Caenorhabditis elegans: one gene and its partner. The protein of the gene in region 1 interacts with the protein of each later gene in a biochemical or structural test. Each region holds a gene or a part of one and is shown in the gene's direction. Other genes may lie near its edges.

Region 1 (5,050 bases):
TTTAACAGTTAAAACTTTTATGAAACCAGATAACATAACAAATTAAAAGTTGTGTGATCGATGCGTTTGGATCTTACATTATGGAAATACTTTTATTGTTGTAAAAGTTTGAAATTTGCTAATTTTACTATTTACATTTTTTGGTATTTTTTTAAAAGTCTTCCAACAAATAATTGTGATGGTTAACATTCTGTGGTCAAATTGCTAAATTGAGGAATCTACTGTCTTGAATTTTTATGTAAGACAGTAAGCCATTTCCACAAATAAATACTTGGCATTACTCATTCGGAAAAAAAACAATTGCTAAACTCTAGTTTTTCACAAAAAGTCAAATTCCCATAATCAGGATTTCTCCGAATGATGGGGGAAATTGAATTTTTCGGATTGAGAGTAGGGCTTCTAAATTCTTTATTTGAATGGATGAATTAACACACACAAATTCTGAAGGAAAACTAACAACTTATCAGAATAAATTTGTAATATTACACAACTGCTTAAGTTTTATGGCTGATCTCATGTAATTGCAACAGTGCTTACACAGAAGACTCAGATTTTTCTCTCAAAATGCAAATGTCTTGTTTCGCGAGGTTTCGTTCAATTCAAAATTTTTAAACGGTACATAAAATGAATGATTAATTTTTAAACTTCTTATTTTCACGATTACCGAGTCTCTAAAACTATTTTTCCACTTTTCTCTATCTGTCTTCACTTGAAAAACGATTGAAGCCATCAAAAATCACCCAGAGAAACTTTCTTTTTCACGTTTTTCGACACATTTGCATTTTGATTACCTCTTCCTACACATGACCTATCTCTTTTCTCACACAAACTTTTTCACAGAAATCTTACATTTTCTTGCTCTCCATCTTTCTCTTCCTGCAAAAAACTAATTCTCTCCATCTCTGTATGTCCTTGTTTCTGGAGAACCTAATTTCCATAAAAGCCAGAAAATATTCTTCACTCTCTTTCATCGTCCTTATTTATTATCATTCAATCTTTTAAAAGTAAAATTATGTCGTGCGTTCACCTAATTATTCAGCTTTATTGCCCCCAAAGGCTCTTTTTTATGTATGTCGGAGCAAGTTTTCTTGACAACAACAAGAAAACACAATTTATGACTTGCTTGAATGTTATTAATTGAATGTTTGATTCTATTCTTGGGCGAATATTGCGGTACACTTTCTTAGAACCTATAATATTTTATGCATTCCAAAGATTTTGAGCTAATCTTGGTTTCAAATAAATAATAATGTTGCAAACCTTTTTATTCCAAAAAAAAGTAATATGTGAAATAATGTCAAGGTAAAGTTTGGCTTTTCGGTTTCAGTTGTAGAGTTTCAGTGATAATTTTTAGTCCAGTTAGAGTAGTTTTAAGTTTTTTCTACGCATTCTGTTTGAATTTAACTTCTATACATTTGGCATTAAATGTCATGTGAATTTAAAGCATTGATACAGTAAGATGTGTCCTTAAATAATTGTATAAAACGAGACAACTCAATTTCAAATTAGAACTGAATATCGTGCGTCCCCTAAAACCTTACATTAACTGTACAGTTGTGGAGCTTTATAAACCTTTAAACTTCTTTTTCTAGTTTAAGATATTGAAGAAAAATCACAAAAAAAATCTGGTGATGTTTTAGATGTCTTCAACTTCCACTATTTCTACTTCAATCTACTTGTTTTCAATAATTTCTGAGTTTTTCATCTCCGAAGGAACAGAAGGTGTTCCATAACTAATCAAACTTGACTTTGCACATTTCCACCATCATCACAAATATGATCGTCCCATATCTAATCAAATTGTGTGTGGGAAACTCCAACGAGTTTTTTGTGCCTATTTCCTCGTTGAGCAGCAATCCACTTGAAAAATCCAATCATCTTGGAGAAGTAGAAGACGAACTCGAATCCAATTCATGGCCCCGGGTTTTCACGTTGGTTAAACTTTTTCTCCTTTCATCCAATCACCTCTTCGAGTACGTTTCTTGTTCCGCGCCGCAGTTTTTTTTCATATTTGCTTTGGAAATTAAAATAAATAATTTTGATTTTTCAGGTAAGACCAGTGAAAACAAGACAACGAAGAATTGGTCAAACGTCGAATTGAAAAATGGTAAGTCGACCAATTATCAGATTTATTTTGGATTACACATGTTCTTCCGCTCTTTAATTATTTTCTTCTTGTTAGTCATTATTTAAAGTTCATTTTGTTTATACTCTTTCGCATTTCCCATGATTTTTGCAAATATTTTATTGAAGTTGAAAATTAGGGATTCCAAAAAACGTTTGAAAGAATAAACGACCTTGAATGGGTCTAGACAATTCATTTTTCTTGGATTGTTATTTTCGTATTAATTGAATTTTTACAAATGCTATTTTCAGACCAACTTGATATTTTTAGATTTTCTCAGTTTTCCGGAACATTTGCTATGTTTTTTGTCTGTTCAGTTTTGCTTTCATATGTATTAGCTCCTCACAACCGAATTATCAAAAAACTGTAAAAATAGAACATATTGAAGTTTATAGAAAATCGATGAACCATGTTTTTATTTTTTGAAGATGATACGATTCGTTATCAAAACTAAACCTTATATGGTAAACATTTAAATTTTCCTGTATACGTTCCTGCAATCTACCTACCTGCCTTCCTTAACCTCCCAACTTTTTTGGAGATTTGGTATTTGAATACTTTTTAATGTTGATTAATGATAGTAGTACTATTCTAAAGCTTAATCTTTTCTTGTAAAACAAAAACCTTATGACCTTTCTCATTCAATTCCTGTAACCTATTCTGCAGAATCCTTTTCCCTTGAAAAAATGAACATTTTCAGAAGGGTAGTTGTCTGTGTTTCTACTCTCCAGAGGATACCCACGCTGCCCCCGCTGTTAAAAAAAATATAGGGAGAAAGAGAGAAAGAGCAAAAATAAAATAAATTGGGCCAGAGCAATTTTCCATATCTTTTCCTGCCCCAGCGAGTCTTGTTGTTTCTTCTTTTGGTGTTTCTAAACACTCTAGGATTCTAGAGATTTTCAGCAGTTTGCAATCTTGAATTCTTAAATTTAACTTAAGTCTTGAAACAAAAACTTAAAAATTCACGGTCGCCTTCCTTTTTCTGTTTTTCTCAATATTTTCACTATTTCTGAAGAAATGACTCGTCGGATTCAAAGAGAATCTAAGAAAGTCTTGAAGAATCAAGAATTTCATCAGGATAAAAGCTGAAGACGTCAGTTTTATCTTGCTCTTCTTCATTGAAGTGAAAAGAGGAAGGGAAGAATGAGATCTGTAGAGTCACGTGATGGATGTTTGATATAAACTAATGTCTTCTGATGCTTTTCCTTCTTTCTATTCACTTTAATGATGGACCACTCATTCATGTTTCCTTAAAGACTTCTTGAAACTTTCTTGTTCCATCTACTTGATAATGACCATAGCCTTGAAACTAGATGAAAAGTCTTTAGAATTTCCTTCCAAACTTGAAATATCGGGAATAAAAAATTCACAAAACTTTTTCAATTTTATACATTTTAATTTTCAAATATCGTCTACATGGTTCCAGTGGGTTATAATATATTATAAAAAATTTTAAAATCCATGTATTAAAAAAATTAGAAAATACAGTAAAACGTACTTTTCCAGTGAAAGTGACAGAAAGGGCGCGAGGGTGGCGATGAAAGAGGCGGGTTAGATGCGTCGACGCCTCGTCGATGTAGATTGTCTGAAACGCAAGAGAATCTGGGTTTTCAATCTGAAGTTCTACAACTATTTTTTGCAATATTAATCTAGACCAAAATAGCAGGGTTTCATGAAGAACCATAAAAAGGATGCACTATGAGAATTTTGAAGTGTACTCCGTACTACAACTACATGACCTGATCTTTAGTGCAGTTAAAAAATATGAAAAACACGGAACAGAGTTCCTAGAGATGAAAAATGGTACCATTTTCGGCCATGATTTATTTTACGATCAGTTAAAACATTCCACTTGAGATAAGCAAAAATTATTAGTACTCTGTTCCAGAACACTTTTATATCTCATCTGAATATGCACCATGATTAGATATAAAATATATAAATTTTCTATGATCTGTTGTGAGATGGTCCCATCTCCCAATTATCTGGTACTCTGAGACACTCGCGAATACTCCCATCGTGTTCGCCGTACCAGAAAACCTATAAACCGCTCCTTCCAGTCGCTCTATCTCCCCCTTTCTCTAATCTAATGCGCGCCCTCATTTGAATCTCCCGCCAAGCTCAATGGTCTCGCAGCGAGTGTGCGCCGCGGGTCTCACCGCGCGCCCTCCTTGCTCGTCCTAATTCGCTGGCCTAAATTAGTTTCGACTCAACTCCCTTCACTCGTCTCGTCACCGCTCCTGCGGATCGTTCTTCTTTTATAATTATTTATCTTTATTTATTCCCTTAATAGTTTATCACCCGCTTTAGTGACTTGTATAGCAATCTTCCTATACGGAAGACGCTAACATCCGCTAATGACACGTTAAACTATTCCCTTATCGACAGTTCCCCTTCTTTCTATATTCTTTCGAGCTAATAAAGGGGGTTTCATGGTAACTTCTCGTGTTATATCGTTCACACCGCTTATCTCTCGTTCTTGCATGGCACTCCGCAACCGCCAGTTCTCTCTTAGACTTCTTTCCGGCTTGACCCCAGTGGTGGATCCCCAACCCACTATACTGGGCGGTCAACATGGAGTTGGACACCCATGTAGGTTATGAGTTTCTTACCTGGATAAACCGGTTTCGGAGCCATCTGGCGCGAGCGGTCGGATGATGATGATACATCCGCCGGTGCTCCTCTCTAGCTAGTTGAGTCAAACCCGCATGGTTAAAGCCCCCTTCGGATGCTATTCCCGATGTGGTTTGGTGAGTGCATTTGACTGGCTATCGCGACCAGCTCGGCATCAAGGCAGAAATTCAGAACACACATGGGGGGAATGGTTTTTTTTTATAAATTTCTTAGCCTTCTCCCAGTCACTTTTCCATAATCGTTTCCTGTTTTGCAATCTGAAACCTTTTTACGCAGAAAAAGTTTTCCAAG
Region 2 (5,188 bases), 260 kb from region 1:
AGAATCATCATGTCCATTAATTTTACATTAAATATTAAAAATGGGAAAACGGACATTTGTATCTCGTCATTTATCTTTCGGAAACTCCCAGATAGTATTGCTCCTTGATCTTCTAGAAAACTTCAAGCTCAACTAAATTTACCGTACTCACGGGTACGGTAGCTGAGAATTTTCATGTATGAATGTTAGGACCGCCCATCGAGAACATTCCCATAACCTGTCCAGCTACAATAATCATCTTGAATGCTCAAAAAGCGCCCCTTTTTTCAAACGGTTTAAAAAGTTTAAAAAGTTCAAAAAATGGTTTTAAATTATTTTTCCTTGAGAATTTGACAAAGAATAAGGTTTTATAAAAAACTAATTTTGTTTTCAAAACAAGTAACTTCTAAAGGAAATCCTCTTTCTCCAGTATTGAATATTCCAGTGACTCTATATTTCTGAGAATTTATTTTTGACCTTCGACATTTTCAAAATATTTTCTAGTTTCTCAAGGCGTTCTTTTGTATCAATAAGCCAAACGTGTGTAAGTGTGTAAGTGGAAGGCAAAATATGTTGGTGTAGAAAATACTATACCTCGGCACGAGCTGACTAGACTCAGGTAACAAAAAGCTGTAAAAACAAGTGAATTTTGCTACGCAAACCTGTTTAAGACTTTCTGAATTAAACACTCTCACCAAATATTTTTTTTAAGATTGAAGATACTTGACGATCTCTTTTTGAAACTTTCATAAAACTTCTTGTTCATAAAATCTATTGTACACCCAAAATAAAATCTCTGTTTATTTCATCATTGCTCACTAAAAACTCTCCCATTGATTTGTCAATGCTTTGATTCTAGTTAATTAGACTTAAACAGAAGAGGCAGGGGAAAAGGAAAAAAGGATTAGGGAATTCTTTGAAACCGCTTTGTTTGTGGTCAGAGTTCGTGTCAATCTGAAAATAATTCCCATGAAAATGACGGAAAATGTGAAGAACGGAGAATTAAATTTCACCTGTAATTTTTAATGGTATATACGACATGAATTATGCATAGCAGGTTTGTTGATTTTTTCAAGGTCTCGCCTCTAGGAATTTTGTTTCAAGAATTGAACAACTTTGTAGAGGAAAAACATGGAAACAGTAGAAAGCTAGAATGTTTTAATGATCATATATATCTTGTAAATGTAAAAAGTTTAGACTTTCAAGAAAGCAAATTTTCTACTCAAAACTCAAAATATGAATACGATCCGGTGGCAGATCTTTGTTGAATTGTTGAAATGTTGGATACTTTTTGTTTCTTCCTTGTGATTTTCCAGGTTATACAAACTTTCCTGATTTTTGAAGAGTTTATCGATAACATGATGTATTTTCGAAAGTTTGTTGAAACTCATCAAAGTTTACCGCAGTCGATTGAAAATTGATAAGTTCATGGCCAAAAACTGTGCAACCTTCCTCCTTTGAAGATTTCAAGTCTTCAGCTTTCCTTGTCTGGCATGGAGCACTCCTATTCCTGAGGTCGCAGTTGATTTTTTGCAAGTTTTTCCTCAATCTCATTAAGATTATCCCACTAGTGACGTCGACATGATTCAGACATTTTTCTTTCTTCCGAATTCAAACTTTTCAATCTCCTTTTCTCTCTATTTCTCTCAAATTTCCGTCATATTTTCACCTCGGGTTCCGGGGCGTTTTAAAAGTGGGCGTGTTGCTCCCTCTTGGTGCGCGGGTCGAAGAGAGGCGGAGTCTAAAACTAGAGAGATCTGTCTCTCTCTCGGTTGTGCTCATTCATTCTATTCGACTTGTGCCTCACAGCCAAGTGAACAAGCTTTTCCAGCTCTTCCTCTTCCTTCTTCACTCAACGTCAACATGAACAGATTCATCATTTCAATGATTGCCCTTTTGGCTGTCTTCTGTGCTGTATCTACAGCTTCACCTCTTTTATACAGAGCTCCACAGGTTAGATTTTAGAGTTTTGGGTTTTCAAACTGGTTTAATAAATATGAAACTTCTGTGATCAAGTCAATTTACTTGACCGTCCAAGAAAGTTAGATTTCTCAGTGTTTTCAAAGAAAATGCTCAAAAAATCATAGTGCCCAAGAACACAGGTTCAGTTAGTTTAAGACAGTAATATTAAGAACTTATAAAATGATAGCTAGGTCATGATTAAAATGTTTGGCTTTCAAATAAATATTTCCTAAGCCTCGGCAGACAAAAGATGTCCGCATACTTGCCTAACAGAGAAACATACTTTTTCTTTTTTTGCCATGAACCAAAATTTTCGTCGAGTCACTGCGAAGGTCCAGGAGAGCTGTGCCTGCCCAGTACAGTAGGCACGCTGGGAGAGTATGAAAATTCCTTCTTTCGTTCCTACAAGGCAGGTAAACCTTCTCTGAAATGACACCTACATTAGCCGAATTGCCTGCCCAGTAGGCACGCGACGTGAACCAGGCAACGAACGCAAGATGTGCCTGCCTTGGAACGCAGTCAGCAGTGTCAATACATTTCGAGCTTGACTGCCTTTATTAGTTTGGTGTCAGAAGGTATCATCAAAACCTGCAGAATTAAAAAAAAGTGTTCTTATTCTATAGAATTCAATCATCCGATGATAATTTGACTTTTCAAAATCAAACAAAAATCAAAGATTCACAAGAAAAGCACTAAAGAAGCCAAAAACCTATCCTCTGTCTTGATTAGATGCCTCGGAAACTGACGAACATCCGTTGACCCCTTGGTGGGTGGTTTTCTATGTTTTTTGTTGTGAAATTGGAAAAAAAAAGAAAAATCACACTACTAAAAGTGCATAGAATAAAATAGTATTTACGGCAAAGAACAATGTAGTAGTGGAACATCACAATTTTGTTGTGCAAAATGACGTGAAATTTGATTTTAAAATAGAAAAAAAAGGAGAAAAATAGAGTAGCATCATCAAAGTCCTATAACGGAATTTGAAGAGAGTAAGGGTAAGCTTTTTGATGAAAAAGAAATCCATGTTTTTATAGTATCAGATGTACGATGATGTTCAGTTCGTAAAACGCAGCAACGCCGAGCTTATCAACGGACTCATCGGAATGGATTTGGGAAAATTGTCAGCTGTCGGAAAACGGTTAGTTTTTTATCATTCGTTTGTTTAACCTGGTACCTCCACGGTTTAAAAGTAGATCTATTTATAATTAGCTGAAAAAATACAAATTTGTTTATTATAATTCTTTCTAAATATTAAAAAGTTAGAGAAATGCTCTCATACTGAACCAAAACGTTATAGCATTCAATTATAAACTTTTTTGTGAAATTGATTTAACTCAATTTGAACATATTGACATCTGACACCAAAATTACCATTTTCCAATCGATCTACACCTGCCTACCTTATGCCTACTGCCAAAGAAAATATTTTTATTTCTCAGTTGAATTTTCAACAAGATAATTGAAATGAGGACAAATGCCACTGGTTAGGCATGTAGGTAGGCAGGTGTGGAGTATGCCTACCTTTAGGACTGTATGTTTAAATTGAAATAAAATACATTTAAAAATGAAAATGAGAAATACGCTTAACTGCCCTAGGCAAACGCCAAAAATGGTAGGTAAGTAAGTATGTATGCAGGTAAGAATGAAGACAGAACTTCTAATTCGAGCATATTTTTCACAAATTTTCGGTACTTTTAATTATGAATTCTAACGTTTTTCAATCAAGAGAGTATGAGTCATTTTTTATATTGATTTCTGATCTGCTCAGTTTGAACCTGCCCAAAAAGTATTGGTTCATAAGTTATACCATAACTTATCAGCCTTGCGTACAGTTACGTATGAGCGCTAAACTGAAGCTATGGCATCAGTTAAACTAGTCTTTTTTACGATTCAAAACACATGTTTTCTTGGTCCAGTGAATTTCTCATGTTTTCATTGCAGCTCAAACGCGGAACTTATCAACGGTCTTCTCAGCATGAACCTCAACAAATTGTCTGGAGCTGGTCGACGATGAGGTACACTTGATATTTCTGAATCCCATTTTAATCTCGAAAATTTTCAGAAACATTTATGGTCCTCGTTTTGATTATCGATTGGTTTTATTGCGCTCATCTGCTCTGACATGCGATTCTGTTCTGCTCATCGTCATCTTCTTCATCTTTTCCTTCTCAAAAACCTTCTCCAATCAGTTCCTAGTCTGTTTGTTTTTTGAACCAACTCCTCCCCCTCCTCCACCAACAAAAACCTCTCTGATAATTTTCTAAACTGTCATTGTTTGTGTGTGTGACATAACCTTTTCCGATATGAAAAATGTGTACTCTGTGAAGAAAAGATCTTCGAAAATCTTTTTGTTTCGTCGTGTTATTTTTTGTGTGTGTGTCTTTATATTCTATCTATATTTATTTAAATTGTCGTTTTCAACTGAACAGGAAGCAGGAAGTTATGAAATTTTCTTGGTTTTTCTACTTTTTACAAAATAATCTACTAAATTTTAGTTACATTACTTTTCTTTGCTTTGACTTTTAAATCACACTCGAACATGATACAAATTTGATAATGATAATTTCTCAAGGTAGTTGTAGAATAATTTGCCAAGATAGACTATAGATTTTTCTTGAATTGTGAAATTTTTTAAAGATATTATGTTCAGCATAACAAATGTTTCAATTAATTTAAATACCAACGGAAGAAAAAAGTGTTTCTTAAACAATTGTTCTAAGTTTTTTTCCTATGAAGATTTTCAAAGTTTTCAACGAGCTGAAATCGAAATTGAAAAACTTCGCAAAAGTCCTTTTTAATAGGCAAAAAAGATTTTTGTGGGTTCATTTTTGAGTATATCACAGTTCTAAAAAACTAGATAAGTTTTTACTTTCAAAAATATGAACTTAAAACAATTGTCTCAAGCGTTATCTAGAGATCCAGGGACAACTAACTGATTTGGAAGTTTATTGTTTGAATATATTTCTACTAGAAACTTTCTAGTGCTGAAGCGTGAAAAGTGGCTTGAATTTTCTTAATCTGTTCATTGGAAATCATAAAACTAATGATGAAAAGGTTGAATGAGTAAGTTGCAATATTAAATTGAGAATGTGAATAAAACATATTTCAAAGTTACAAGAACATATGAATTGTTTGGAAAATCGCAAAGAAACATAAACATTTCTTATTTCATAATGTTCACACAGGAAAACTTTATTGATGATATTTTAATCTCAAACAAATATTGAAAAAGTGATATTATTATATC

The links.
Region 2: the proteins of pdfr-1 (region 1) and pdf-1 interact in a test that uses a peptide from one of them, tested with the Caenorhabditis elegans proteins (one large-scale study listed by BioGRID).

What each region holds. Positions count from the first base shown.
Region 1 is NC_003281.10:6,648,026-6,653,075, reverse strand, and holds the start of pdfr-1 (Calcitonin receptor-like protein 1), read left to right. Parts: upstream 1-2,050; 5' UTR 2,051-2,107; intron 2,108-5,050. UniProt on the Caenorhabditis elegans protein: G-protein coupled receptor for PDF neuropeptides. Plays a role in responses to environmental signals, including chemicals and touch, and in modulating locomotory behaviors. Capable of transducing signals via an adenylate cyclase acy-1 cAMP-dependent pathway.
Region 2 is NC_003281.10:6,908,854-6,914,041, reverse strand, and holds pdf-1 (Pigment dispersing factor homolog pdf-1), read left to right. Parts: upstream 1-1,776; 5' UTR 1,777-1,842; coding exon 1,843-1,932; intron 1,933-2,975; coding exon 2,976-3,079; intron 3,080-3,882; coding exon 3,883-3,955; 3' UTR 3,956-3,956; intron 3,957-4,003; 3' UTR 4,004-4,452; downstream 4,453-5,188. UniProt on the Caenorhabditis elegans protein: Probable ligand of isoforms a and b of the calcitonin receptor-like protein, pdfr-1, a G-protein coupled receptor. May not signal through isoform c of pdfr-1.